Linked DNA regions of Ovis aries. The protein of the gene in region 2 purifies or fractionates together with the protein of the main gene of each other region. This does not show direct contact. Links are inferred from orthologs where the notes say so. Each region holds a gene or a part of one and is shown on either strand. Other genes may lie near its edges. The genes, in order: POLE3, SMARCA1 and chromatin remodeling regulator CECR2.

Evidence for each region.
Region 1: the proteins of SMARCA1 (region 2) and POLE3 purify together in Homo sapiens (affinity purification with mass spectrometry; 3 studies listed by BioGRID and IntAct, with this or other methods). This does not show direct contact. The link is inferred for Ovis aries from reciprocal best matches to the Homo sapiens genes SMARCA1 and POLE3.
Region 3: the proteins of SMARCA1 (region 2) and chromatin remodeling regulator CECR2 purify together in Homo sapiens (affinity purification with mass spectrometry; 3 studies listed by BioGRID and IntAct, with this or other methods). This does not show direct contact. The link is inferred for Ovis aries from reciprocal best matches to the Homo sapiens genes SMARCA1 and CECR2.

The regions. Positions count from the first base shown.
Region 1 is NC_056057.1:706,544-716,333, forward strand, and holds POLE3 (DNA polymerase epsilon subunit 3), read left to right. Parts: upstream 1-5,528; 5' UTR 5,529-5,628; coding exon 5,629-6,072; 3' UTR 6,073-6,188; downstream 6,189-9,790. UniProt on the Homo sapiens protein: Accessory component of the DNA polymerase epsilon complex. Participates in DNA repair and in chromosomal DNA replication.
Region 2 is NC_056080.1:113,456,291-113,467,104, reverse strand, and holds part of SMARCA1 (probable global transcription activator SNF2L1), read left to right. Parts: intron 1-2,573; exon of another isoform or gene 2,574-2,644; intron 2,645-2,757; coding exon 2,758-2,844; intron 2,845-4,609; coding exon 4,610-4,776; intron 4,777-5,081; coding exon 5,082-5,182; intron 5,183-5,289; coding exon 5,290-5,390; intron 5,391-8,263; coding exon 8,264-8,443; intron 8,444-10,814.
Region 3 is NC_056056.1:214,767,919-214,779,173, forward strand, and holds the start of chromatin remodeling regulator CECR2, read left to right. Parts: upstream 1-4,109; 5' UTR 4,110-4,229; coding exon 4,230-4,355; intron 4,356-11,255. UniProt on the Homo sapiens protein: Regulatory subunit of the ATP-dependent CERF-1 and CERF-5 ISWI chromatin remodeling complexes, which form ordered nucleosome arrays on chromatin and facilitate access to DNA during DNA-templated processes such as DNA replication, transcription, and repair.

The DNA.
Region 1 (9,790 bases), on a different chromosome or scaffold from region 2:
TTCATTACAAATTCTAGAGATAGCAAAGTTTAAGAAAGTTTATACATAATGTTGGTGTAAGGTAGTGTGACAAGATAAACCCTCACTAGGAGCTAAGAGTACTAGAAATCAGACATAAGTTTCATGGAGACAGTGATCTTCACATAGCTTTGGGAGAACAGCAACTTTTCCATTTCCATGTGACAACTTTGTACAGAACATTGTATATCACAGTATAAAATAATCCCTCCTTATATTCTCCCAAAATAGCATCATAAGTTTTTAATTGGCACTTTCTACATTTCAAAAGTTTAATTTGAAAAGGTGAATGCCTGTTTCTCAGAAAACTTTTGGAAGAAACATGGCAATGAAGAGCCTGAAAACTATAATTAAGGTGAAAAATAATGTGTCATTTATTTGGGATGAGCATTCCTGAGAAATACTGGGTAGAAATATTTCCTTTTCATCAATATTTGTACCTGTCAGTGTTCTTCCACATTTGGTCTCATTTACCCTTACCCCTCCACCAGGCACCAGTTCTACATCTAAAAAGATTTGAACAGAAAATAAATATTAATTTATTGATAAATATGGCAAACAGATATATATATATATATATGTATATATATATATATACATAAAGCATGAATAATGAGCACTTTGGGGGCCACTTTTTGACTTGCAGGCAGGCTGTTTTCTAAGGCGTCTGTGGGTCAGATAATCAGAAATCATGGGGACAGAGTGAGGAGCTCAATGATGGTAGATTATATACTCTTTTACTTGGACTACTGAGTGATAAATAGTCTTCGGACAATCTGTTAAACTTTCCACAAAGAATGGCAAGTTCTGCAAAGAAATAAAGTGAGTGTAGAATTTCCTCTAAAGATGGACATCTAGGGCAACTGAGTCAGGGGGAAGTGGACAAAGAGCCTCCTTTATTTAAGTAATGCTTCTCCCTGTGGCTTCTGCCATAAGACAACTCTTTAAGCACAGAAGATTCTGCCTAATGCTAAATAGATAATGTTTCACCCTTATCTATTTTTCAGCTTTGCCTGCCTGCTTTGCTTTTAGCTCTTCTCTCCTAGCCCCCACATCAAGAGATTATCTGTTTATTTTTAACAAATATAGTCATTTAAAATTTGTAACATCCATTTGAAGAATAGAAGTGAAGACTATATCTATTGAAAATCAGCATTACTTCTTTTTAAAAGTACATCTTCTGCCTTCTCCTTCTTTGATTTTTTTCTGAGACTTGCGGATTTTCAGATACTTGAACAATACAAACTCTCCTAGGAATAAAACCATGATTGGATCCTATACCACCCACCTGATGACACACAACCATCTCCCAAAATTACTCCAGGTCTAAGATGCTTAAGAGAGAAATACTAACTTTTGAGTAATAACCCACCATCCTTCATTTAGTACCATAACTTCAGGAATTCTGAGTATTCTAAATGGTATTTTTAGAAGTTGGAAAAAAAGATAAACTGGGATATTTGAGATAATGGCATACGAAATAACATTTATTTCTGATCGTTAGTATTTGTTTAATACAGAACTTCACATCCAAGATGATAACAGCAGATTATTTAAAGGGTATATTTCCTGTTCCATTGCTCAAGCTGCAATAATTGGAATAAGAGTCCAAGGAAGAGTTGGAACATATTAAATATATATGTGTATATATATATATATACACATATATATGATTATATATCTCTATGTATAGCAGTTATGTGATACATAAGTGTTTATGTATAATGGTTTTAACAGAGTTAAAGGTATAGTATGACTTTATATCATAAACCTCCAAAGGCAGTCACGTATATCCTAAATCCCAAGTGATATAGCATGAAAAACATGTGCCATAAAGTTTTTGAATATGACAAACAAATGAAAGAAAGAACAAAGACATATCTCTTAACTATACATTCAACAAATTGGAAAATTTAATCAATAATGATATCAAACTTAGCAAGCTTTCTAAAAGAAAATCTTATAGGAAATTATTACTTTCAGAAGGTTATTTGAAACTCACAGTAAACCTTTGCAGTGGTCATTAAAAATTATCCCACAAAGTGTTAACATGAGTTATCAAGAAATCACAGATACAATGGTCCCCCAAAGTAATATTTCATAACATCATGTAACATCCTATGAATTATTTCCTTATTTTTTCCAGATTGATCATTTTGCACTCATTTCTTCTCCTCAGTCATGAAATCATGCAGCTGAAAAATAATGTGACTGAGTTTGTTCTGCTTGGATTGACACAAGATCCTGTTAGGAAGAAAATAGTGTTTGTCATTTTCTTGATTCTCTACTTGGGGACATTGCTGGATAACCTGCTGATTATTGTTACTGTCAAGACCAGTCGGGCACTTGGGAGTCCAATGTACTCTTCCTTTTCTACTTCTCCTTATCTGACGCCTGCTTCTCTACTTCCATAGCTCCCAGAATGATTGCTGATGCTGAAGAAGACCACTATCTCTTTCAGTGAGTGCATGATCCAAGTCTTTACATTCCATTTCTTTGGCTGCCTAGAGATCTTCATCCTTGTCCTCATGGCCACTATGTGGCCATCTGTAAGCGTCTGCACTACACGACCATCATGCGTCATTGAGTCTGTGGTGTGCTAATGTCCTTGGCCTGGTTGGGTTCCTGTGTGCATTCATCAGCTCAGATTCTTCTAGCCTTAAGTCTGCCTTTCTGTGGTCCCAATGTAATTAATCACTACTTCTGTGACTTGCAGCCTTTGTTGAAACTTGCCTGTACAGACACCTATGTGACCAACCTACTCTTGGTGTCCAACAACAGGGCCATCTGTACAGTGAGTTTTGTCATGCTTTATCCTGTGCTATCATCTTGCATTCTCTGAGAAACCACAGTGCTGAAGGGAGGAAAAAAGCCCTCTCGACCTGCATCTCCCACATTATTGTGGTCATCTTGTTCTTTGGTCCTTGCATATTTATATACACTTGCCCTGCAACCACCTTCTCCATGGATAAGATGATAGCTGTGTTTTATAAAGTTGGGACACCTTTGTTCAACCCTCTGATTTATACCCTGAGGAATGCAGAAGTGAAAAATGCCATGAGGATGTTATGGAGTAAGAAGTTGACAAAATATGAATAGAAATTTCAAGATTTATTCAGTGTTTGAACTGACCTAGAAAAAGTCCATAGAGACCATTCTCGTCTCATTGTGAAGTTAGTATATTTCTATCTTAGGGTGTGCCACTGCCCTTAAGATTGAACAGCAGTGTGCACACATATACTTGTTAGTGTTGAGTCAATCTTATGTAGAGGAGGAAAGGACACTAGGTATAAGCAGGCTTTAAAGCCCAGTAGCTTAAATGCTGTGTCTTTATATCTCTCACTTGCCTGGCATTAATTTCTCTGAGGTTTTCATCTAATGTGTTCCCTGCCCTTCTTCACCTTGCTGTCTACTGTTTTGCTCCGATGTAACCTTGCCCTATATTCTTATATACACAACTTAGTAACTTTTTTGTTTCCTCAACCTTTTATTAAAAGCTTCTCTTTCATCATATCTATTCGATGCACACAACTGCAGAAGCTTCATGTAGTAAGAGACAGTATATAATCTAGCATTTTTTCTTTCAATTATTTATTGTTCAATCCAAATTGTTACCATATGTTTAACCAGACCCTTCCTTCTCAGATGGAATTAAAATTCTGTCAGTTTTTTTCAATATTAAGAAGGTTTTAATTGTTAAGTTTCTTCTCAGTTTAGCATTTTTAATAAAACCTACACTGTGCTCCTCACATGACGGAAGTGACTTAATCCACATGCACATTGTGCTCCTAATATGACTTCTGCTGATCTGGGGACAGTATTAAGGTTTCTCTTGAATCATGCCAATCATGATATTGAGAAAATAATGGTGGACTATTATAAATATAGTATATATATTACAAATTAAATAGATTTATGTGGGGTTGGAGATAGAGTGTAGACAGTTGATGTTAGTGAATTTCAAAATATTAATACATTGAATATGCTAAGTCAGAAGTTATTTCTATTTGAGAAAGAATTATTTATGTACATATATATGAATTATGAATTTCCTTTCTTGAAAAGGACAAATTAGAATCAGGAAAAAGTATTTCTGGTGGTTTCTAGAAATTCCAAAGAAGTAATGGGAACAATAGGTAGCACACAAATCAGTTTTAGTGAAGGAAAATAGTTCTGTTTTAGATACTTCAAAGACAACATACAAATGAACGACTCATATTAAAGATGCTCAATATTACTAAGTATTAGAGAAATGCAAATTCAGAATGGCCATCATTAAAAATGTCTACAAATGACAAATGTTGGAGAGGGTATGGGGAAATGGGAATTCTCCTACATTGCTGGTGTGAATGTAAAATGATATGATAGCTAAAGAGAACAATATAGAGGTTTCTTAAAAAACTCAATATACCTACTAAGTGAACCAGCATATGGATTCTGGATACATACTAGGAAAAAACCATGCTTCAAAAGGTTACATGCACCCTGATGTTCATCACAGTGCTGTTTACAATAGCCAAGACTTGGAAGCAACTTAAATGTCAACAGATGAATGGAGAAACAAAATACAGTATATATATATATATATATATACACACAATGGAATATTACCCAGCAATTAAAAAGAATGAAATATACCAATTACAGCAACAAGGTTTGATCTGAGATTATTATACTAAGTGAAGTAAGTAAGACAAATATCATATGATATGGCTTATATGTAAGAATCTTAAAATAAAAGATACAAATATACTTATTTATAAAACAGGAACACTCAGAGACTTAGAAAACACAATTATGATAACCAGGGGAAAAAGCAGGGAGGGGAGGAATAGACTGTGAGTTTGGGATTGACATGTATATGCTGCTATATTTAAAATAGATAATCAAGAACCTACTGTAGAGCACAGGGATCTCTGGTTAATATTCTGTAATAATCTAAATGGAAAAATAATTTAAAAGACAAAGGATGCTTGTATGGGTATAACTGAATCACTTTGCTGCATACATGCAACTAACACATTATTGCTAATCAATTGTATTTTAATATAAAATAAAAATATAAAAACAACTAAATGAACGAAAGGAAGGTTGTAAGGTATTGATATAAGAATAAACATAAAAATCACTGAAACATCATAAAGATTTTAAAATTAAAAAAAAATTTAAAAATACCAAAAAAAAAAGAAAGTCCAGGAATATACTTAAATAGATGAAAAGTTTTACAAAGATATCAAAGTAATTGAAGCAGAAATAATATATTTTTCAACAAATTATACCACATCAATTAGATATCCGTATATGAAAAAAAGGAACCTCAACCACTACCTAATGCGGTAGATGAAAATTAGCTCTAAATGAGTCATAGATCAAGAGGTCAAAGCTAAACTTATAAAAATTCTGTGAAAAAATTACAATCAAGAACCATAAAGAAACTAAAAAATTGAACATTGTTAATATTTTAAATCTTCTGATCATTAGAGATTATACATTTTAAAAATAAAAAGGGTGGGACGGAAGCCTCGCTGGGTCAGACTGTGGCGACGCGGGAAGTCCAGACGCCGTGGCGGCCTGAAGAGGAGGTCGCAGGCATGGTCCCCGGCCGCGACCATGGCGGAGAGGCCCGAGGACCTAAACCTGCCCAATGCCGTCATCACCAGAATCATCAAGGAGGCGCTCCCGGACGGTGTCAGCATCTCCAAGGAGGCCCGGAGCGCCATCTCCCACGCCACCAGCGTCTTCGTGCTGTACGCCACATCCTGTGCCAACAACTTTGCAATGAAAGGGAAACGCAAGACACTGAATGCCAGCGATGTGCTGTCAGCCATGGAGGAGACGGAGTTTCAGCGGTTCGTTACCCCATTAAAAGAAGCTCTGGAAGCTTATAAGAGGGAGCAGAAAGGCAAGAATGAAGCTTCAGAGCAAAAGAAGAAGGACAAAGACAAAAAAACAGATTCGGAAGAGCAGGACAAGAGCAGGGATGAGGACAATGATGAAGATGAGGAAAGGCTGGAGGAAGAAGAACAGAATAAAGAGGAGGAAGTGGACAACTGAGGAGGATGGGGAGACGCCCCTTGGAAAGAACCACGAGAAAACTTGGTACACGTTTGTGTGAAGCTTGTTCCGGCTGGGCAGAGTAGTCTTAGGCAGAAGAGCCTGATGAGATTGAAATAAAAACTGAATTAATCATCAGGATTATCTTCAAAGCCAGTGCTTACCAGACTCGGAGCATCTGAGTAGCAGAATCCTGGTTTGCTTAATCAGTCTCAAGGTTATAACTTTTGGCAAGAGGGATTCTGAATAGCAAATTTAATTGGTCAGTTTGATCTCTTTTGTTTACATACACATATAGTTAGGCAATTGTTGACCCCCCCCAGTTCCCTCCCTGCCCCCCAGAAAAGTAATAATAACTTCCATGCTGCTAACTGTGTCCCAAATCACAGAGGCAGTTCAGGCTCAGGAAAAATTGAGGTTTGATCACAGTCAACCTATTTGATTATACAATATTTGGCAATACTAGCTTATTTCAAGTGATAAGAATGGCTTAGCTTTAGGAAACTACTAAAAAGGTTGAAGAGAACAATAAAATCTGCTGTTTCTTCATTTGACAGTAACATTAATTTAATTTTGTTTTCTATAGACCCACTTGGCTTAGAGCCCTTCTATATTGCCTGTAGGCGTGTAACCTGCTTGGGAGGCTACCTTCTAGGCACATTGTTTTCAAATCCACAGAGCAGAATTAGTTAAGCAAGGTTGCCAATGTCTTACTCTTATAAAACAGATGGTTTAGTTTTAAATGCACCTCACTGCCTGCCACTGTACAGCTTCAGGATTTGTCATCATCTCCTGGAAGGTATAAAATTCCAGGTTTTCGTGTCCCGTAGTCCATCTTCCAGATTTGTGACTATGGCTTTTCGTTTTCCAATTCATGACAAGTTCCGAACTTTATTTCTACTAGGCACAGCTTTCTCCCTCTGTGCTTCTCACCACCTGTCTCTGTCCTGCCTCTCCTCTGCTCCCCATTCCCACTTTCTCTGTCCCTCTTTTTTTCACTTCTGCCAACCCAGGAACTTGGATGACCTGCAATATCACAGAGTATAGGTTCCTCTGATTCCCTAGTTCTAATCTCATGTCTTAAAAGTGATTTTGTAAACCTCTTTGACCCATGAGGGAAATCTGATGGTGCTCAGGAATTTACTTCCTCCCCTAACCCATCCCCTTTAACTGCTTCTAAGTATCTCTGTTGACCTTTCCAGGTGTTCTTCTATTTCCATTTGGTGCTCTTTGTATAATAAAAAACATTATTGTTAAAAAAATACATAAAAAGGCAATTCACAGAGTAGGAAAAAGTTGTATCTACATTCACATGTACAAAATTTTACATTATATATAAGTTTATGTGTAAAATTATATATGTAAATTCATTATATATATGATGCATATATATGAAAGAAGAACTATATCTAGAATATATATATATATATATATATATATATATATATATATATATATATAAAACCTATAATTTAGTGATGAGAAACCCAGAACTCCTATTTCAAATTGCACAGAGGTCTTAAAAAAAAAAAAAGAAACTTCTGGAAAAAGGTATAGAAATTGCCTGTAATATAACATTAAAAATTATCAGCTTCAGTAGTTATCAAGAAAGCAAAGTAAAACCTCCATAGTTTATCACTATATACTTCCTAGAAGGACCAAAATGGTACCAAGGGACAGAGATGTCAAATAATTTACTTTGAAATCAGAACTAATTTCTTGTGTTTTATGTATCTATGCACGTGTGTAATGTCACTTGCTCCTAAGTCACTTCAGTTGTGACCAAATCTTCGTGACCCCATGGACTTCAGCCTACCAGGCTTCTCAGTCCATGGGATTTTCCAGGCAAGAGTACTGGAGTGGGGTGCTATTGCCTTCTTTGGTAATGTCACTTAGTATTCCATAATGACTGTCACAACTTTTCCAGACATAACTTACTGGAAACTTTTCAGAGTTTCTCTCTCTCTATATATATAATGATTGTGAAAAACAAGTTTGTATTCAAATACTTTCAAATGGCCTCACTGCTCCACCTCTCAAGAAATCAGTGCTAGATTTCCAGGAACTTTGATACTGATAATAAGAAAGTTCTCTCTCTGACATGAGTGCACAAATTAACTACATCGCAGGTCCCAAGGCTGGAATACTGCTCTCCTTGTCATTCACATGACATTTGTCCTTCTTAGATAAACCAGGCTTGTATGAAGAGGATTCACCTATTTTAGCTGCAAGTGCAGGGAATACAACTCCTCACTCAAGAATGAGTGTTTCTCAAGCATGTCTCTTTGGAATACCTACTTCTAAGAAAAATCCTTTCCATCAAAGCAGATAATTAGTTCCTGGGAGAGAAAAGAGCAGCTATAAGACAAAGTCCTTGAACCTGTATTGGAGACTTGTTAAATATCCACACATGCAATTGGAAATGTCTTTATCTGTTATTTACATTTTTCAGAGAAAGACTTGTCAAGAGTTGAAAGATCCATTTGAAGGTGTTTCCACCACATTTATGCCTGCTGACTTTTGGAGTAGACCATCCATGGATGATCATTTCTCCATCGTTTTCTTTGTCAGTTTATTCTAAGTTCAAGTTCCAGGTTTTCTGTGAAATTTATTGACTCTTTAGGCTAGAAGGAAATATGTAAACATATAGAACGATTTATCTCCTATTGATTTTATATTGAGTTATCTGAATAGCTTCTTTCTGAATGTGTCACATCTTTCTTATTGAAAGTTCCTTATCCTAGGGCTTCCCTGGTGGCTCAGAGGTTAAAGCGTCTGCCTGCAATGTGGGAGACCTGGGTTTGATCCCTGGGTCGGGAAGATCCCCTGGAGAAGGAAATGGCAACCCATTCCAGTATTCTTCCCTGGAGAATTCCATGGACAGAGGAGACTGGTGGGCTACAGTCGACGGGGTGGCAAAGAGTCGGACACGACTGAGCGACTTCACTTTCACTTTCACTCATCCTAAGAGGAGGTCAGTTTGAACATGTGATTAGTTCTGAATACCCTCAAATATCATTAATATCATCTAAGAAAGACCAGAAGTTAAGTTCTTCAGTAGAGATGATGCTTAGTAAAGACTGTTACTTTACATATATTGTTGTTGTTCAGCTTCTTAATGGTGTCCGACTCTTTGTCACCCCATGGACTGCAGCATGCCAGGCTTTCCTGTCCTTCACCTTCTCCTGGAGCATGCTCAGACTCATGTCCATTGATATGAGTTTATGTATATGGCAATTATGTTTTAGTTCAGTTCAGTTCAGTTCAGTTCAGTCGCTCAATCATGTCCGACTCTTTGCAACCCCATGAATTGCAGCATGCCAGGCCTCCCTGTCCATCACCAACTCAAGGAGTTCACTCAGACTCACATCCATCGAGTCTGTGATGCCATCCAGCCATCTCATCCTCGGTTGTCCCCTTCTCTGCCTGCCCCCAATCCCTCCCATCATCAGAGTCTTTTCGAATGAGTCAACTCTTCTCATGAGGTGGCCAAAGTACTGAAGCTTCAGCTTTAGCATCATTCCTTCCAAAGAAATCCCAGGGTTGATCTCCTTCAGAATGGACTGGTTGGATCTCCTTGCAGTCCAAGGGACTCTCAAAAGTCTTCTCCAACAGCACAGTTCAAAAGCATCAGTTCTTCAGTGCTCAGCCTTCTCCACAGTCCGACTCTCACATCCATACATGACCACAGGAAAAACCATAGCCTTGACTAGATGGA
Region 2 (10,814 bases):
ATTTGTACCATTCCTTCAAATAAAGTAATCTGGTACCTCCCCCCATTCTAAATATTTACACGGTGCCTTGACGCTTTAACTGGTGTCCTAAAAGTGCAGATTAAATGCCTTTTTCTTAGGCGTGTCAGTTATTGTATTCTGACAGTGATACAAAGGCATTTAAGACCTAGGAGGTTGTTTCCCCTCAATTAAATAACCATCTCCCAGACACTTCAATATTGTGTTGATTTTTTTTTCATAATTTTTCAATCTCCTCCCTCAGTTGTCAGACTGGCGTCTAGTCGCTCAGTGGTGTCCAACTCTTTGCGACCCCATGGACTGCAGCATGCCAGACTTCCCTGTCTTTCACCATCTCCTGGAGTTTGCTCAAACTCATCTCCATTGAGATGGTGATGCCATCCAACCATCTCATCCTCTGTTATGATAAAGGACATAGATGTAACAAAATATTTCAAATAAAACAAATGTAACATACAAAATTACAAGTGATCCAAAAGGGAGAGGGAAATCACCTGAACACCCAGCAGAAGGGCTATTCCTGTAGTGGAACTGAAGTTTCAGTCCTGGGCTTTGGCCATTCCTCTTGCTGTTGCCAGGGTGTCTTCTTCAAATGGTGGTTCCCAGGTCATTTGCGGCTGCTTTTACTCTCTGTAGAATGGGAAGCCAGATTATCAATCATGCTGGAATTGTGTATATATTAAATAAAAGAAAATAGGCTCTGAATGAGAGGATTTTCACGATGCATAAAGTATATGAGAGTGGATTGTCTTCTGACGTTTAGCTAAGAAGGGTATTTTTGCTTACCTTCTGGTTCTTCTTCTTTTTTTTTTTTACCTTCTGGTTCTTGAACTTCTTTTTTCTAAGTGACAGTTGGATAACCCAATACCATGACAATTGGAGTTGGTATTTTTGGTAATGAAAATGTCAAGAAAAAGGTCATGGTCTTTAAACAGGACATCTTGGTGACCTTGTGCTGCATTCTTATAGCATCTAGACTACCAGATGAGAAAACCCATAAGGAATTCATTAGAATATCTTAGTTACCTTTTATATTTTCTGGGATGAGAGGTATATTTGTAAAAACATACACATACAAAAATGGGAAGGTTTTGAAGGTAGGTATTTTAAAATTTGTTGTGAAAGATAGTGCCAATTAAGTAATTGCCTACTGCTTTAAATGGCAATGCTCACAATTAGGAATTTTAATTATCATAGAATTAAAATTTTATGATATTCTACTACAAGGTAAGGAAAAACGTAACAAGTGTTTTTCTAATATTAAAGCTTTAGTTTTCTGTAAGTGAAATTTGCATTCCGCATTATTAGATATATACTTGTGTATTTGAGGAGAGGTTAATTTTTGAAACTTGTAGATTTCATTTAGCTTTTCAAGGAATGATAAAGGATTTTCTTTTTTTACTTTTTGCTTTGAAAATAAAAGAGAGTTTCTAGCATATGTGACAGTTTGAAAGTGTGGTATTGAGGGCATTTTAGTAGTTTCTATTCTCATCCATCCAGAATTACATTCAAAACATCCCACATATATACATATGAGATGCTGTAAATCAAGACGGCTGTTATTTGGGCTAAGAATAACTGGACAGTATCTAATCAGTGCTCCAAAGGAGAACCCTGATCAGGGTCAAATTCCATAATCTTAGTTTGGAGTTCCTCAAAATAGAAATTTTAATAAATGTTGGAAAACATTTATTAACTATCGGAGCCAGATTTTTCTTGTTTAAGATCACATCCTTCTATTGATTTATGACCCAAGCTTTCAGGAACATGCTGTTCCTGAAAAAAAAAAAAAAAAGCAATGCTCAAATGGACATAATTTCTTCAGTTTTCACGGATTTGTATTTTGACTTTGCAGACTGTGTTAAAACTTGAATGGCCTCCACTTTGGTACTAATGGGTAGATTTATATTTGTATTATTTTATTTCTTGATTTCTTACAGGGATGGAGGTATATTCTACATATCTGTTTATAAGTACAAGCTTGTCTTTAAAAAGGATAGAGTGACATGACATAACCCCCTAGATAATTTCAGTATTTTAAAGTAGCTGATTTATGTTGCTATTCACTAAGTTACAGTGTTTTAAATATCAAAGGTTAATAGCCATGAGAAACTGCTTTACAAGATATTCATATATATACTTTTAAAAGGTTTTCTGTCCAGTTGGAGAAAATTAACATAAACCAGAAGTTTGAAACTACTATTTCATTGTTTCAAATATAAATGATCACACTGCAGTACATAAAAGTTTTAATGTTCTATTTAAGATATAAAAACAATATTTAAAAATTACATCTTTTCAGGAGCAGAAACCACAGTCTTTTCTCATGAAAGTTTGGCTTGTTTCCATTACATAAAGAAGTACCTCTGGAATTAATATTTACTTTCCTTGAATTCTTTGGTTTATGGTTGAAAATATCCTAGATTTTGAATGTCCTCTTGAGTGGTTATGCACTTCTTTCACTTTACACAATAGGTGCAAAGGCTCATTTCCCACCTTTTGGTTTTTAATTAGTATTATTTCTCTGGCTTTACGATTCTTTGGATTTTTTTTTAATTGGACCTCAGGTGCACAGAACTGGATTAATCATAAGCCCTGTTCATGACATGCTCTCATCATTGGTCCATGCATGGCCCATGTGGATTTATTTATTTAGTATTTAATTACTTTTTATTTTCTTCAAATGAGAATGCTGACCTTGCTTTGCAATTTGATGATTTATTTTCTTTGAAATTCTAGAAAAACGTTTCTCCATTTCAACTCAAACTTGCTGTTAAAGCTTCTAAATCTGAAAAGGAAATGGATCCAGAATATGAAGAGAAAATGGTAAATATGTTCTTGGGTAGAAGAGTGAATACAGTAGTTGATTTTTATAGAGGAGATGTGAAAAATTAAAAAATACATGTCTGTATATGATGAATACAGAATCATAGGCTTTAGAATTGAAAAGTAATATAGAATCCATCATAATAGATTTTTGTTGGATAAATGAATCTCCTAATTTTCAGATGAGGAAATAGAGTATTGGAGAAATGATACGGAATAGTTGAGACCAGAAGCCACATCTCTTCATTTTTGTTTAGCCCTCTTTACCCCATAATAGGATATTTTACGCTAGAAATATTTTATCCACAAAGTGAAAATATAAGTGGCAATATCAGTATGGCTGAGAGAAAGCAGGTCACAAAACCAGCCTGGTATTTCTTTTCCTCTCTCTCTCTTTGCTCTGGATATGTGAATGAATGCTTCATATTATGAAACATGTAATATATGTTTTTGAGGGAAGGCTATTTGCCCAGTGTATGAAAATATTACACATTTAAGCAATATAACCTTAGATACACCTACCTAGTGCTTTGCTGTACATTTCATTATTTAAGTTTTACTCACCAAAACCCATATTTTAGCTTTAATTTTAACTGGACTTTCATGCCTTGGGATCTTTCAAAACCAGTGAACTTGGTTAACTGAAAAGAGAAATAAATGGGCAGTTGGAACTGAATATTTTTTTTTTTTTTGTCAAGGGGTTGTTTTTGAAAGTAAGTAGAGATAAAGTACATTTTTTGGTCATTTGTAGTGATTTTACAGAACTCAGTGCCTTAACGCTTAAGGCCACATCTAACATGGACAAGTTAATGTTTTAACAACTCTAGAAACAACATTCCAGTGAGGATAACATAAAATGGAAAGATTTTGGCCTCCTTCCAGCTACTGGTCTGAATGTATTTGTCTAATTCTTGTATTTATGGTAATGAATTCTTGGAAGATTTTTATGTTATTAATTATGCATCCTTCATTGGTAATCAAATATTGTCTACCCTGTGGTTAGAAAGTGACTGGGAATTAAAAAATCACCTTTTTTTTTTCTTTATCTAGAATGATAGTCTTTTGATCTTTTAAGATGTTTTTAGTGAAAAAATTTTACTGCATTTATTTTTATAAGCTATATGACCTTTTAAAATTTGTTTAGAATTTATAACATACACTTCTGAATTGCTAATGTTATTAACTGTTTCACTTATATGTGTGTGTTTGTGTGTATTTTTTCTCTAAATCCTCACTTTCGGGAGAAACTTTATATACTCTTAACATAAACCACAATTCCGCAGATCACTATACTTGAACAGAGAAATGTATTGTACCAAAGCATTGAAAATATTTTGAGAGAAGATGACACTGTATTCTGAGTTTAAATTATTTCTAGATGACAATTCTTGGCTTTCCAAACCATTCAGAATTTGCTTTTTGACCCCAATACTTTAAGCAGAATACTTATTGAGGCATTTATTAAGCCTGTCAGATCACTTGGCTTCTATTCAAACAATCTGAAAATACCATTTCCAAATTCTCCTTATTAGCTGTGGGAGCTTGGGCAAGTTACTTATCCTCTGTGTGCCTCAGTTTTATTTTTATCATCAGTAAAATGGGGATAATACTAGTAACTACCTCATAGATTTATTAAAAGAATTAAATGAGTTAGTATGTTTAAAGTACTTAGAGTGTAGTACAAATTACGTGCAATGTGTGTATTGTTAAATTTTGAAAGAACATAAAAGGAAATCATTACTTTTTCTTTTGTCTTGTAAATTAGAAAGCAGATCGAGCAAAGAGATTTGAATTTTTACTGAAGCAGACAGAGCTTTTTGCACATTTCATTCAACCTTCAGCGCAGAAATCTCCAACATCTCCTCTGAACATGAAATTGGGACGCCCTCGAATAAAGAAAGATGACAAGCAGAGCTTAATTTCTGTTGGAGAGTATGTTGGCATCTCTCTAACTTTCTTCCCTCCTTTCCTCCTGCCCTTCATACTTGCCTTCCTTCATGTATTTAGTGTGATTTTATATCTAAAAAACAAGGTTATCGCCTGTATAAATATGTTTTAGAGACAATATTTTTTTTTCTCAGTAGAAGTCAACCAATAAAAATGTCAGCTGGTTTTATCAACTTTTATGCAAGACTCTAGATAACTTTTTTTCATAAAAGATATTAACATAATATACTGACTTAATTGACAACTTAGCATTTGAATTGAATATGAAGATATTTCTTTTTCTGTTTCAGCTACCGTCACAGGCGCACAGAACAAGAAGAAGATGAAGAGCTCCTCTCAGAGAGTCGGAAAACATCTAATGTATGTGTTAGATTTGAAGTGTCACCTTCTTGTAAGTACCTCACCATGTTGGTGTTTTTTGTTTTCAGTTTAGTTTTAGAAAAATTTTACTTGGTTGTACTAATGAAAGTATGTGAGCCTTGATTTTTTTTTTTCCAGATGTGAAAGGAGGACCACTGAGAGATTATCAGATTCGAGGACTGAACTGGTTGATCTCTTTGTATGAAAATGGAGTCAATGGTATTTTGGCTGATGAAATGGTAAGGAGTTGGTAGCTAAAAACACATTCTCACTTATCAATAATTTTATGTAAATTTGAAATACCTGAGCTGAAATTCCCACCCGCCCCAGAGTTTGGAGGCTAGATGTTTTATTTAGCTGTAACATACAAGGTATTTGTAAAGTCTAGAATTGTTTAACCTCTGGAACATATGCTTTTACAGGCCCCTAAATTTGTTATTGAAATTTCCTCAAATGGTATTAAAAAAAAAAAAAAACCTCCTTGTACTTTTGTTGATATTTGCACTTTGGCTTCCAAGGAGCTCAGAGCTATAGTGAATGCCAAAATGGAACATCTGTGTAACTTTAAATGGTCTGCCCATTGTGTCCTTTGTGCCTTTTCCTATTCTTTACCTTTTACTTTCCTTGGCCCTCTTTATTTCTCTTTAACCATTAATTTATGTTCCATGTTTTCATTGTAGGCTACCTGAAATCCTTTTGGGACTGAGGTGGGGCTAAAAGCCAAATGCTAAATGAATGAATGCATGCATGAGTGAATGTAAATGCCTCTGTGTGTGATCAAACAAACTGTGAATAGATGGAATAAAGAACAAGAAAGTGAAGAGCAGTATTGAGTCTTGATAGTAGAGTGCCAGCTGGGTCAGGAAATGAGCTGAGGATTGATGGGAGGTATAGTTATCCCTCCGTATACGGGGGAGATTGGTTCAGGGACTCCCCGTGGATACCAAAATCTGTGGAAGCTCAAGTCCTCATGTAGAATGGCATAGCACAGTTGGGCCCTCTGCGGATTTTGATCTGCGGTTGGTTGAATACCTGGATGTGAAACCTGTGGATTCTGAGGGCGCACTGTGTAAAAAAAAAAAAAAATGACCAAAGAGAAAAAGTAAGGCCATGTAAGATGCTAATTCAGCAGGTCAGAGGAGTATATGAAGACTTGGCTTGACATTTTAAGACCAAATGTATATGGTAGGGGTTAAGAAAGGGCAGTGATACTCCAAAAATGACTCCGGAGCCATATTTGCAATCACTTGTCCATATGGGCCACATGACTAATTATGCTCCATAGCTTGTAGTGTAGTGGTTGGTTCCATAAGTACTCATCCCTGGCTAAGCAACTGGTAGGTGTGTAGCAGGTCCTTGAAAACTGCAGTCAGCTCAGGCAGGAAGGAGTTTAGTTAATTGTTTGCAACCCCATGGATTGTAGCCCCCCAGGCTCCTCTGTCTATGGGATTTCCCAAGCAAGTATACCTGAGGGGGGTGCCATTTCCTTCTCCAGGACAACGGAAAGACTAGGATTATTTGCCCCAAGCTCCTCTTGGCTGCAGCCTGTCTAAACAGGAATTAACTAAAGATATTTCATGTTGAATTTATGCTGATATCAGTTATGTTTTAATTATTAAAAAGGAGAAAGTTTAATGATGCTAGAAAATTTGGGAAAAAATCAGGAAAAAATTTAAAGTAAGTGTTTTTTTTTTATTACCTAGAAACAACAATACGTAACAGTTTGCATATTTCTTTTTAGTCTTTTTCCTCTGGTTTTATTTATTTTTCATTTTTGAGGTCATATTGTATATTTGATTTGGTATTCTGATTTCTTCACATTCATACATATTTTCCACATAATTAAAACATTTTGGTAAAAATAATTGTTAATTACTGCATAATAATTAATTATAGGGAGATAACATAACTTTATTCATTTCGTATGGATTGGTTGATGTATAATATATATATAGTATATATAATATATGTATATAGTATATATTGGTTGATATATATGTATCTACTTGATGTCTGATAATACTATTATGAGAACCCTTGTAATTCAGTTTTCTGCACCCCTCAGATTATTTCCATAGTATTTCTAGAAGTGGAATTACTTGGTTAAGGAGTATAAACATTTTAAGTTTTTTTTTCATTTTAAGATTTTAATGCATAGCATCCATAAAATCTATCTAAGTGAAATGTCAGGCGGGATAAAGCCTATAAAAATAGCTTTTAGCTTAGGTTTATAAAAGAAATATATACCTTGACTAGAGACAAAGTCAGAAAGTGTTTTAAAAGGTCATGTGACACAGGACATAGTTCCTTTTCCCGTAGGTTACGTAGTGGGTTCATGGGTGTTCAGTATATTATTATTATTTTTTTAAAGTCACCTGGACTAGGTTCCTTTCTGGCTGCAAAGTTCTTTTGTTTTGTTCTTTTATGATTCCTTAGGTCTTCAAGGGTATGAGATGTGAGTATAGAGCTATAGACCTCTTGAGATGCAGAGTCTGAATATTTCAAACCTGGGCTGTAATAATGTTGAAGGCAATGGGAAAGAAAGAGTGGTATCTAAGCAGGCTGACTGGGCTTCCCTGGTGGCTTAGTCTGTAAAGAATTAGCCTGCAGTGCAGGAGACCTAGGAGATGCGGGTTTGATCCCTGGGTCGGGAAGATCCCCTGGAGAAGGAAATGGCAACCCACCCCAGTATTCTTGCCTGGGAAATCCCATGGACAGAGGAGCCTGGAGGGCTACGCGTGTCCAACATTTTGTGACTAAACCACCACCACTAACACCAAGCAGGCTGATAAAGGAAATGTGTCTTTGTGAAATACACATAGTTCCTAATTTTGCAAACTAGTAGAAAAAATGATAGGGGTTGCTCACTCCTTTAGGAGTAAAAGTCTAAATAGAAAAATGCTTTGTTGAGCAACTTTCTAACTGCAAGTTCTTGGCTTCTTTTTGTGCTCAGCCTAAGTATTGAATTGGAATGGTTATTCACTTAAAAAAATTCTTTTAACTTTTCCCAATGTGAGATACTTGGCAGATATCTTTTGTAATGTTGCTACTAACAAATGTTTCATTAAATAAAACATGATTATGGATTTTTTTCTCTGTGATGATAATGCAGGGTCTTGGTAAGACTTTACAAACGATTGCTTTGCTTGGTTACCTGAAACATTACCGAAACATTCCTGGACCTCACATGGTTTTAGTTCCAAAGTCGACTTTACACAACTGGATGAACGAGTTTAAGCGATGGGTCCCATCTCTTCGTGTTATTTGTTTCGTTGGAGACAAGGATGCGAGAGTAAGTGAGAAACAGGTTTTAAAAGGCAATCAAGAATAACAACATTTCTGGGGTTAAATTTTGTTGCTATAAAAGACATTTGAGTTGACTACTGCTACTGAATAACACTTAAGTTGTGCTTACTCTGTGTTAGATTCTTTTGTAAGTGCTTTTTTAAAATACCACATTTACTTCTTGTTATCGACTTTTGTGTTTATCTCTGTCAATGTATTTATACATTTTTTAAAAATTGGAATATAGTTGCTTCACAGTGTTGTGTTTCTGCTGTACAGCAGAGTGAATCGGTTATATGTATACATATATCCCCTCTCTTTGTTTAAAATTTCCTTCCCATTTAGGTCACCACACAGCACTGAGTAGAGTTCCCTGTGCTATATAGTAGGTTCTCATCAGTTAGCTATTTTGTACATAGAGGTGTATATATGTCAATCCCAATATCCCAACTCACTCCACCCCCACTTCCCTCCTTGGTATCCATATGTTTGTTCTCTACATTTCTCTCTCAATTTCTGCTTTCAGATAAGTTCATCTGTACCAGGTAAGTGCTTTTCATATATTAATTGAGCTAATTCTCACAACACTCTTCTGAGGTAGATGTATTACCTATTCATAACAGAAAATCCATTATTATGCTTATTTGCATTTACTTTTAACTAGCTCATTAATCTAAGCACTTTTGAGTTGCACTGAGTGACTTTTTGTTTTAAAAAATCGTATTTTATTGACCATCTATCTTAGTGATTCTATCATTTGTGCTCTTTTGATGCCAAAAGTGTATAAATTTGCATTTCAGTTTGTTTAATTTTTTTACTTTTGACTTTGACTTGTTTACATGCACACATGCACATGCAGACACACATGAATGGAACCTTTTTCCTTGTACAGAGAACCTTGTGTTTTGTGTTTATGCATAGACACAGCTTTCAGTTTTGATCTTTGAATAGAAGAATAGGTGTCTGCATACATTCTTAGATAATATTAGAAATTAAGGGTTCTTGTTTAAATTAACCATTTGTCAATCTAGTAGGCTACAGTTATTTTAGGACTGTTGAATTAATCTAAAAATAATGAATTATGCAAAAATACCAAAATGAATAATCAGCTTAGAAAGCATATTATTAAACTTGGTCTTTATTTGCCTCCAGAGAACATAGTTTGGAGTAAAGATTTATTCTATTTTACATATTTAGATAGGTTATCAAAAGATATTCTCAAAAGAGTGGTAACATAATGAATTATGTAATTTTATTCTTATCATTTTGCTTGAAGAAAAATTACTTAAATTTATTTAAATTTAACTTATAAATAATTTAAATATTGAAATACTGAGCTCATAAATTTAGAATTACAGGCTTGATTCTTCCCTATGCCTCATATTTCCCAGTAGCAAATTAGTCACTTAGAACTCTTTCTGATTGCTGCTATTATTTAAATGTAATACCATTCCTTATAAAAATTTTGTATTTCTAAATTACTGATTTGTTTTGCTGTAATCTTCTTGAAGATCATAGATATTGAGAAATATCTGGGCTGTGTTTTCATTATGTCTTCAGTCAGTTCGGTTGCTCAGTTGTATCTGACTATTTGTGACCCCATGGACTGCAGCACACCAGGCTTTCCTGTCCATCACCAACATGTATGCCAGTGGTTTTCGATTTTACTATATGAACTCCATGGGCTCCATGAAGTGTCTGTGGGAGTTTTCAAGAAAGAGTGGATTTAATTGGTTACTGCCCTCTTTTTTTTTTTCTTTTTTTAAAATATGAATTTATTTATTTTAATTGGAAGCTAATTACTTTACAGTATTGTAGTGGTTTTGCCGTACATTGACACGAATCCGTCATGGGTGTACATGTGTTGTTCCCCATCCTGAACCCCCCTCCCACCTCCCTCCCCATCCCATCCCTCTGGGTCATTCCAGTGTACCAGCCCTAAGCACCCTCTCTCATGCATCGAAACTGGACTGGTAATTCGTTTCATATATGATAATATACATGTTTCAATGCCATTCTCCCAAATCATCCCACCCTCGCCCTCTCTCACAGAGTCCAAAAGGCTGTTCTATACATCTGTGTCTCTTTTGCTGTCTCGCATACAGGATTATCATTACCATCTTTCTAAATTCCATATATATGTGTTAGTATACTGTATTGGTGTTTTTCTTTCTGGCTTACTTCACTCTGTATAATAGGCTCCAGTTTCATCCACCTCATTAGAACTGATTCAAATGTATTCTTTTTCATGGCTGAGTAATATTCCATTGTATATATGTACCACAGCTTTCTTATCTGTTCATCTGCTGATGGACATCTAGGTTGCTTCCATGTCCTGGCTATTATAAACAGTGCTGCGATGAACATTGGGGCACACG
Region 3 (11,255 bases), on a different chromosome or scaffold from region 2:
GCACTTCAAAATAAATAATAGAATGATGACCCAAGGAAGTGGTTGACTAGTGAGTCATATACACTGCAGTTTCTCCAGTCAGAGGACCTGGACAAATACCCCTAAGAAGGGGTGTTTCAGGAAAGCTTTAGGAAGGAGGTGAGTTTGAGTGATCTGAGAAGTTGAGCTGTCTTTGTAAGCAATTGAAAGGGCAGGATCAAAAGGGAGGAGCAAGAAGATCCGGGGGTGAGTGAACCAGTTTGACAGGAGGGAAGGAGTCACTGGTTGGATGAGGTGGGGGTGGGGATCGCAGGTGAGGCTGGGAAGGCAGGTGGGAGCCAAACTCTGGCTTGAATTTAAGATTCAATGGAAAAAAAAAAAGACTCAATGGACTTTCATGCTCAAGGGAGAGTCATAGAATTTGGAGCAGGTGAATGACATGATTGAATTTACATTTTAAAGCTGGTTGTACTCTAAAGGTGAAAGCTATAGGGTTCAGGAACCATTAGTTAAGCCCCTCCTCACAGATGCAATACACATGCAAGAGATTAAGCCTTTTCTAAGAGACAGCCAACTTTCCTGACTATAATATAACTCACTTTCCACAATCTCTAAAATGTTAAAATTAGCCTGACTTATAGTCCTCTGTGGGAATAGTACCCTATGGAAGGTAGCTCTCTACTGAGAAAGGAGGGGTGTGCCAATACTTCATGATGGACCTGGACTCAGACGTGGAGACAACTAAGGTGATAGGATAATGGTTCTGCCTCACTACAGCTCCAGCTGGGCTCCTGGACTGAGTCAAGGAGCAACCACGTCAGGGTGGGCCGGCAAAGGGACAGAAAGGGCAACTGGAGAAGTGAGAAGCAGTGTAATCTGACTGGATGATCAGTTAGAAGATTTGAATTCTAGTCCTGGTTAGCAGGAAGAAACCTGGAAGAACCACACTTTTGTCACCTGCCTTCCGAGGTTCAAGTAATTATTTTTAGCTGATCATACAGAATTTGCAATGTATTTCTCAAAGAAATGCAGTTAGAAAATGCTGGTTGGTTCCCCAGATTATCCTCCAGGAACCTAGAGTAATCCCGAAACAGCTGAGATTACTGCAGTGAGTGAACCAGTTTGACAGGAGGGAAGGAGTCACTGGTTGGATGAGGTGGGGGTGGGGATCGCAGGTGAGGCTGGGAAGGCAGGTGGGAGCCAAACTCTGGCTTGAATTTAAGATTCAATGGAAAAAAAAAAAGACTCAATGGACTTTCATGCTCAAGGGAGAGTCATAGAATTTGGAGCAGGTGAATGACATGATTGAATTTACATTTTAAAGCTGGTTGTACTCTAAAGGTGAAAGCTATAGGGTTCAGGAACCATTAGTTAAGCCCCTCCTCACAGATGCAATACACATGCAAGAGATTAAGCCTTTTCTAAGAGACAGCCAACTTTCCTGACTATAATATAACTCACTTTCCACAATCTCTAAAATGTTAAAATTAGCCTGACTTATAGTCCTCTGTGGGAATAGTACCCTATGGAAGGTAGCTCTCTACTGAGAAAGGAGGGGTGTGCCAATACTTCATGATGGACCTGGACTCAGACGTGGAGACAACTAAGGTGATAGGATAATGGTTCTGCCTCACTACAGCTCCAGCTGGGCTCCTGGACTGAGTCAAGGAGCAACCACGTCAGGGTGGGCCGGCAAAGGGACAGAAAGGGCAACTGGAGAAGTGAGAAGCAGTGTAATCTGACTGGATGATCAGTTAGAAGATTTGAATTCTAGTCCTGGTTAGCAGGAAGAAACCTGGAAGAACCACACTTTTGTCACCTGCCTTCCGAGGTTCAAGTAATTATTTTTAGCTGATCATACAGAATTTGCAATGTATTTCTCAAAGAAATGCAGTTAGAAAATGCTGGTTGGTTCCCCAGATTATCCTCCAGGAACCTAGAGTAATCCCGAAACAGCTGAGATTACTGCAGATTTTGCAAAAAGAAATTCAAATATTTTTTGCCACATCAATTAACAAGCGAAACAGGTTAGTCAAACTAAGTATTGTGTGTGTGTTTTTAATGGAAGATATTTAATTAGCAGATGGTATGGAAGTGGAGGTGGTAGGAAATCTGGAAGAGAATTTCTTTTGGCACTTCCAAGGTCATCTCAGATCAACAGTGCTCACAAACAGAAAAGAGGCAGAGAGGGCAAAAGAGAGAGACAGAGAAAGTATGAGAGCTGTATGCCTTTTGGGAACAGGATAAGAAACAACTGGTGTTTGTAGGGTGAGAAATGGGCCACCCTTAAAAAGGCAGGGGCAGGCAGCGCTGAGAGTCCTGGGAAGAAGGAAGGAGGTGGGTGTCCTGGGAGGTACCAGGGTCAGTGATCCAGGTCTCAGGAGGCTAGGGCGAAGCCAGCCCAAAAAACAGATTTGAGGCAGTTAAATCCCAGGGGAAAGGTGGAACAAACAGTCAAGGATCGTGGGTATCAACTCCAACAGAGGCAGAGGAAGGGGTGGGTACAAATGTGACCCTCCAGACAGAGCCAGAACTTGAGGAACCCGAGGAGACACAGAAAACCTCTGGGCTGGAGGAGGAAGACCTGCTCTGGTGGGGGGGGAGGGGTTGGGGGGAGAGTCACAGCCGATCAGAGCCAGAGAGGAGAGAGAAAGAAAGAGGGTTGAAGCTGTGTGCCTGTCCAATGGGACACCGAGTGGTGACCCTCAGATGAAGAAGGCAGCCTGGGGGCAAGCGTGCTGAGGATGGGGCGGGACCAGCACCAACGAGGGGTGACCCCCTCAGCCACCACCAGCCCTGCCCCCGCCCCCCACACCCCAGGGTAGCGTGGCTGGATTCAGGACCGGGCAGTGTGTGGGGAGGGCAGCGCTCATTCAAACAGGCCAGAGTAACCCAAACTTGTCACCTTTCTGCTTGCTGGTATGTGACTTTTTAGGCTCTGTGACTACCAGGCTGGGGCCCAGATCACCAAGGGACAGGTAAGATGGAAAAGGGTAAAGGGCAGGATGAGGAGCCAGAGGAGAACCGGGAAAAGGAGAGGAAGCAGAAAGGCAGGATGTAATGGATTAGAAACAAATGTGAAGGGAAGCAGGAAGCCTTACACAAGAGAGAAGGAAAGGTGCGGAAAGCCAGGCTGATCCGTGCGGAAATGCAGACAGACAGGGGTTAGAGAGTCCCCAGAAGAGAGTGCGAATTCAGGTCAGGTGGGTCACCCCACGGTGCGTGTCATCCTTCCCACACCTCACCTGGTCATCGGGCATCTGCCTTGGAGCTGCGCGTTACACACTCAAGTGCAGCCTCTGCTCCTGGGGGCGTTCAGATAGGCGCTCATTTTTTTCAAAGATGGACACGTGGTAGCATCTGCGGGTGAATTCTAAAGCATTCAGTAGCTGAGGTAATAGGCGAGCACAACTACCTAAGTTTGGGGCAGGGGGCGAGCGGCAGGGTAGTGTGCAGTGTTGGATGAAGTATTTTCTTCCAGTAAAGATCTAGTTAAATACACATGTTCTTTAAGATTTTTTTTTTTTAAATGCTGGCTTATAAAGAAAAAAACCAGGTTACTAAATTGATGGGAATAAAACGAGGGAGGGAATAAACCGGAGCCGCACTCCATAACATCCCAGCTGAGTGCGGCCACTACGCCGGCCAGTCCGGCGGGCGTCCGCGCTCAGAGGTCCCCACGCGGATCCCCGAGCAGCTGCGCCCGGGACCGGACAGGACCGGAGCGCAGGCGGCCCCCGGGCCAGGGGGAACCACCCCCACCCCCACGCAGCACCCCGCGCACCGCGGACGGCGAAGGGGAGGTCTCCCCCGGCCGGGGAGGGACGGGAGGCCGCGGGCTCTGCCTGGGTGTGGGGTCCGCCGCCCGGGACCCACGTGGGCGCAGCCCAGCGAGGCGCAGCCCGCCGGCCTCAGAGGGGCGCGACCCCCGGCCACGTGGGGGCGGGGCCCGGCGGGGCTGGGGGGCGGTGCTCGACGGCAGCCCCGCCCCCCGGCCCTCGGGCGCCCCTCCCCCGCCCGAGCGCGGCCCGCGGGCGGCGGGCGGGGGCGGGGGCGGGGTTGTTGTTGTGCCGAGGCCCCGCCCCCGCCCGCCCCCGGCCCATCTGTTCCCCGCGAGCCGCGGCGACATTGTGCGGGCTGGGCGGCCGGGCCGCGGCGCGATGGGCCCGGGGCAGCCGCCGCGGTAGCTCGGCCGGAGCGGCTCCGGGAGCGGGCGGGCGGCGGGCGCGGAGGCGGCGGCGCGGCCGGAGATGCGCCCCGAGGAGGGCGGCGCGGCCGGGCTGGGCGAGCTGCGCTCGTGGTGGGAAGTGCCGGCCATCGCGCACTTCTGCTCGCTCTTCCGCACGGCGTTCCGCCTGCCGGACTTCGAGATCGAGGTGCGCGGGCCGGGCCGGGCCGGGGGTTCGGGACCCGGGTGGGGGGTCGGGGCGGCGGCGCGCGGGGACCTCCGAGCGGCTGGCTGCGAGGGACTGAGCGGGGGGCTGAGCGCGAGGAGCGCTCCCGGCCGGCCCGGGTGGGCGGGCGGGGGTCGGGGTCCGGGCGGCGGGGACCCGGGCGGCGGGGAAAGTTGGGCCGTTACTCCGGGCGGCGTCCCGGCGGGCGCAGCGCGGGGCCGGGCGGTCCGCGTAGCGGGCGGCGGGCTTTGTGGGGCCCGGCGGGCTGGCGGGCGGGCGCCCCCGGCCGGCGCCCCGACCCCTCCCCCGGCCGCCTGGGGCCGAGCGCGCGGCCGGTCGGTGCCGCGGCCCCGGACAAAGGTGCGAGGCCGGCGCGGCCGGGCCGGCGAGCGGGGGCCGTGGGTCCGCCGCCCGCGGGGGGCGCGCCCGGCGGCAGCCGGGAGGGTGCGGGCCGCCGGGCGGGCGGGCGGCGGCGGCGGCGACGACAATGCGGCAGCCTCGGGTGCGGGGGCCCGGCGCCGCACGCCGTTCTCAAAGTTGGGACGTGACTCGGACGAGCACGGCTTTTTCTAAAAATGTGAGTGGGACGGCGGTTCCCGCGGACTGAGGGGGAGAAACGGCAGATTAGGGAATGCTGAGCGTCAGGACTTGCTCCACAACTGTCCCGAAGACCCCGTGTTTCCTTTTAGTTGGTCAAAATCCTCAGCACTTTAATTCTGCTGCTCAAAATGGTGGCTGCGGTGGGAGGTGTTGTGGTGACAATGCCGTCGTGGTGCCGCTAAACTTGCCCCTGCCCCATTTTCTCCCTGAAATGTGATAAAACTGAGGCGGTGCTGAATTACAGGTTAGAGTTCACGAGCCCCGTCTAAAAACACTGTGGAGAAAACTTCATCTTTCAAAAATCCAAATATTCCGATTTGGTTGATTGGGAAAAAAAAAAACAAGAGGTAACTAATTTTGTCCTAAATTGTTACAGAAATCTAGAGTAATTTATAAATAACGGCTTATGTTCTAAGAAATAAATCTGTGGTTTCTAAGTATTAGCTGCTTTAATTCCAAAAGGAAATGTAACCTGATCTGAGAGGTCCAATTTGTATGTATAACAGAAGTGAAAAATCGTTGCTACAGGTGAAATCAGGGCCACTTGAGATGAGTGTTTTCGCTTCGGATCCCAGTATTTCTTGGAAGTGACACTTTTTGGTGGTTGTAGTTAACGTGTATGCTGTTTGAAGTATATACGAATGAATATTTGGAATTCAGCTTGTACGTATTATGGTGGTCATCCATACCTCTATAATTTGGAGATGTTCAGTCGATGGCTAAGTAATAATGACTTACTCCTGCAATTCTTCTGTAATCTTTTTCACATGAATATGTTTTGATGAATTTGATGAATACAGGTTTAAGTTTTCACTAATTATCAGAAATTTAAAATTTCAAAGTAAGTTTTAGGTTTCTAGCAAATTTGATTCTGAGAGTGCAGAACTTACTGAGAACATGATCAGTTTTGATTCTCTAAGAAATAAATTTATTTTGGTTAGGTGATTTTTTTGTTTGTTTTTAATCTAATAATTTACCATTCTGAAAGGTTGAAGAAGGATCACTTGATTACAGTTTATGATGCACTGGAAGAATCTTAAAAACAGACAAACAAAAAACAGTACTAATACTGAGTTGTACCTGTTAGGACGACTGGAAGGACCCTATAATCTTAATTTAATGTAAGTTTAAAAGATAGAAATGAATAATACCAAGTGGTAGAAGTTGGATATCAGCTTTTTTAGGAAACTAGTTTTCAGCTGTGGGAAAGTACTCATCTTACCCTTGACAACCAAACTGAACCCATGGATTTAAGAAAATTTAGGAAGCAGAATCTTCAAGGACTTGGCTTCTGTTTATCTAAAACAAGGCAATCTCTTAGATAGCTGACAGGTTAGGAGCATTCATGGTGCAATTCTGTAAGAGGTCAAGACCTTCCATTTAACTGGTCCCCAAAGCATGGATATTTTTATTTTTGCATGTAAGAAAACCTTTTTCCTCTGGTAATTAGCCTTGAGTGTGCAGGATTTAATTAGAAGAGTGAGTATACTAGATTCTTGTGTTTTGGGTTGTGTTTAGGGACATCTGTATTGCTGCCCCTCAGATAGGGGTTCTGCAGTCATCAGATCAAAAATCTGCAAATGTGAAGACATATTTTAAGTTCAAAATTTGTGGTTTTAAAAAGCAGTGCATAATCACAATATAAAACTTGAAAATTATAGCAAAATATAGGTAAGAGAATTAAATCACCCATAATCTCACCACTCAGGGATAAAAACTGTTACTTAGAAATTCCCAAACACGTTCACAGCGTATTTGTGGCCCGTTTTAATTTTCCAGATGAGGAGACTGAGCTGTGTGTAGCTGGACAACTGTAGGTTAATGATACTGAATTCAGTGGTTGGTATTATGAAACATCTGTTACTAGCTGCTTAACTGGATGGATTACCAAAGAAGCTCATGGCACACTCCTTTGCCTCAGGATTATCAAATTCGGGACCACTTCACTTATATCAAGTTTTCTATGATTGTTTAACATTCCAGTGGACTAAGCTGGCTATGTTTTGTCCTGATTAGAGAATGAAGAATGGTGAATTGACCTTCCTGAAGATTTAGTACTGGTTTTCTTTTTTCCCCTAACAAGTGCTCTTTACAGTGAATAGCATCATACTTAACTAGACTGCGGTTAAGGGAGGATAGACCATCTTCAGTGGTCTTGTCTGGAGTTAATTGTGATGGATATAGGGTTGCAGGGAGAAATTCCATTATAAACATTTTGGGTATATTTTCTCCAGAGAAGAAACCATGGGGCCTCTGTGTGATTATTTGAAAATGGTCATGTAGAATTACCTGGTTCATACAATGGCAACATGATCAAAATAATCTGATTTTTATTACTAAAAGTCCCGTGTACTTTTTTTTCCCCGAGCTTTCTGCTTTGAGAACGAATCCTTTGGGTTGAATCCTTAGGCATGAATTACAGAGCATTATTATGTTTATTCATAAATATTATTCATAATTATGAAAATAAGTGATAGAAAAACGTGCTGAGAGAAACTTATTGGCACATCAGCCTTCGTTCTCTGGGCCCGGGGCCCAAGGACGGGTTACGGGAGATTTTGTATTGGTGTACATGCATGTACTTTCCTGTCACTTTCACCAAATTTTGAAAGCAACTCCAACCATCCAAAGTTAGAAGGCCTTGAACTAGATGAAAGATTTAAGTTGGCTTTGAATAGGGGAACCAGAGGCTAGTTTCATGACATGAGATGCCCTGGATCCGAGTTAGAAAACTTGAATTCTTATGCTTGTTTTGCTACTACTGCCTCTGTGACCTTCGGCAGGTCAAGTAGCCTAACGGTGAAGGACACTTGTATAGCACTTTGTACATTTCCCAAATGTTTTCTCATTTTATCCATCGTCATCATTAATCATTACTGGGAATTAGCAGTTTTGCAGATGAGGAAACTGGAAGTTTAGACAGGCTGGGTTTCTTGCACAGACTCTCCCCTGGATCTCAGCCTCTTTGCTGGTGCTGCTGTGTCACACAGCTTCCACTTTAGTTTTCATTATGTATAAAGCGAAAGGCTGGGCCTAGGAGTGGCCAAGATCTCACAGTGCAGATCTAGAGCTCTTGGGCTCTTAAAAACGTGGGGTACAAAAGATCCTTTTAAAGGATCTTAAAATACAGATCTTAAAGGACCCGTATTCTGCCGAATGCAGAGGGACAAATGATTTCATTTGGTTCTTTCAGCAAATGCTTAGCATCTACTGTGTGCTAGATGCAGTATATGAAGTGCTGGAGATACAGGTGTGAATATAACACAAACACCCCTCCTTTAGTGGAAGGAGACAGATGATAATAAATTGGCACAGAGAGGGCCAAGTTGGGGCGGTGGGTTGTTACAATTTAAAATAAGGTGATTAGGTGTGGGAGGGGTTTCTCTGGTGGCTCAGACAGTAAGGAATATCTACCTGCAGTGCAGGAGACTTGAGTTTGATCCCCTGAAATGGTCGGGAAGATCCCTTGGAGAAGGCAATGGCACCCCACTCCAGTACTCTTGCCTGGGAGATCTCATGGACAGAGAGGAGTCTGGTAGGCTACAGTGCATGGGATTGCAAAGGTGTGGGTGGCCTCATTGAGAAGATGGCATTTGAGCAGGACTGAAGGAAATAGGGGACTTAAAATTATTTAAGAACTAGTAGTTTGTGGGACTTCCCTAGCGGTCCAGTGGTCCCTGCGCTTCACTGCAGGGTGTCAGGTAGATTCCTGGTCAGAGAACCCACATGCTGCATGGTGCAAAAATTAGTAGTTAGTTACAATGAACTATTGAACGGAAAATATCAGATGATCAGTGTCTCCTGAAGACTCAGGATATGCTCCTTCTCTGAGGAGGAAAGCCCAAGAACAGGATGTGAATAACAGATCTTGAAACCTGAAAGGGGGGACTGCTCCCTCAGAGTGTAACTCCCTCCAAGGTGAACCCTAGATCCCATTCTGCTTATACCAGGGTCTTAAAGGGGAAGTTGTTGTCTTCATCTTCATTTGCCTGTTCGAGAAGCTTAAAAGGGTAGTTAGAGATTCTCCAGTTGTGGAAAGGGCAGTATTCTCTCATCTCTGAAGGACAACTTATGTGGCTTGCTTTACCATGGAAGTTCAGTTCGGTCTTGCTTAATTTTCTGGAACACAGTGAGGAAGCCCAAAATACGACTTGGCAACATGGAAGCATTTGGTTCAACCGACTGTCTGCCCTTTGATCGGGAGAGGCTGAGGGTTGAATTCCAGTTTTGTTTTTTTTTTAGGGGCTGGCTTCTTGTGGTGTGGTGGGTTGGGGGTAAGAATGAGGAGCTCTGGCATTGCTGGGAAACTGCCAGTGCGCACGGTGGTTTAGATAAAAAGTGGGTGTGGACAGAGTCCAGGGGGACAGAAGGCACAGTTTCTAACTAGATGGCCTTAGATATAGCTGATGGGATTGAAGGTACTTGTCAAAGGAATCATGCAGAGAGCCAGAAACCTGGACTGTGGACCCACGTCTGTCACTACCTGGTGCTGCGGTCTTAGGCAGATCATTTGGCTTCAGATGCCCTATCTATAAAAAGACAGTTCTGGACTAGGTGATTTCTAGGATGTTCCCCTGGCCAAAGTGCTGCGATTCCCCTGAGATGTTTCTCAGCATGCACGGCACAGGTAACTGATCCAAAAAGTTTTCCTGAGCTCATTGGTTAGGGCCAGGTGGCTCAGACAGTAAAGAATCTGCCTGCAAAGCCAGAGGACCCGGGTTGGATTCCTGGGTTGGGAAGATCCCTTGGAGAAGGGAATGACAACCCACTCCAATATTCTTGCCTGGAAAATCCTATGGACAGAGGGGCCTGGCAGGTTACAGTCCATGGGGTCGCCAAAAAAAGAGTCAACTGAGTCACTAACAGTTTCACTTTCTTTTTTGATACGCTGTGTTGGGGTCCCTGTCTTAGAAATTAATTCCGTACCAAATTAATGCAGCACATCCACACTTCATGTCTTCATAGATTGTATGAATTTGTCTTTCTGTGGAAATCCTGTCTGCAAATACATTACATTGAAGGTAGCTTAATTGATGCTTCCGCTGTCTTCGAGGTCCTTTCAAACTAAGATTTTGTATTTTGAGATTATGAGAAACTCAGGAAGGTGAAGGTCTTAAATTGTGTTTTTTCCCTTCACTTCTATTTTTTCACTTAAATTGAATATCGTTCAACACGTAGAACTTTGAATGGAGGCGGGTAAAGGTTCTGGTCTGGGGCTGTCCTAAGTTTGATGGCGAAGCTTTCCAGGCAGCTGTGCCCCCCTTGCCTGTATTTTCCTGTTTCACGGGACTCTGTTCCTTGAATGCTTTTATATTGTCCTCTCTACAGGAGCCTCTAACAAATACTTATTTATTCTGGAAAATGAACTTGTTTATTCTGGAAAACTCTGGAATTCTCTTTCTTTGATTTAGATAGGAGTCTTCAGATGGTGGTACTGAGCTCAGGATTCTCCCAGCCTTGTTGCACCAAGGTATTCAGTGCTGACCACTGCCGCGTGTGTGGCGGTGGTGCCTCCTGTCCCTGAAGAACACTGGGCCCTGAGGTGGGGGGGACTCCTCCCCATAGGCAGTCCCGTTCTGGATGTAATGTTTTTTTGTGTAGGGTTGAAGGGATTTATTTATGCTGAGTTTGCCATCATCAGCCTGGGAAAACAGTTGAGTTCAGTCGCTCAGTCATGTCTGACTCTCTGCAACCCCATGGACTGCAGTACGCCAGGCCTCCCTGTCCATCACCAACTCCCGGAGTTTACTCAAACGCATGTCCATCAAGTTGGTGATGCCATCCAACCATCTCATCCTCTGTCATCCCCTTCTCCTTCTGCCTTCAATCATTCCCAGCATCAGGGTCTTTTCGAATGAGTCAGTTCTATGCATCAGGTGTCCAGAGTATTGGAGTTTCAGCTTCAGCATCAGTCCTTCCAGTATTCCAATGAATATTCAGAACTGATTTTCTTTAGGATTGACTGGTTGGATCTCCATGCACTCCCAGCAACTCTCAAGAGTCTTCTCCAACACCGCAGTTCAAAAGCATCCATTCTTCGGCACTCAGCTTTCTTTATAGTCCAACTTTCACGTCCATACATGACTACTGGAAAAACCAAAGCTTTGACAAGACGGACCTTTGTTGGCAAAGTAATGTCTCTGCTTTTTAATTTCCTGTCTAGGTTGGTGATAACTTTTCTTCCAAGGAGCAAGCGTCTTTTAATTTCATGGCTTCAGTCACCATCTGCAGTGATTTTGGAGCCCCCCAAAATAGTCTGTCACTGTTTAGATTGTTTCTCCA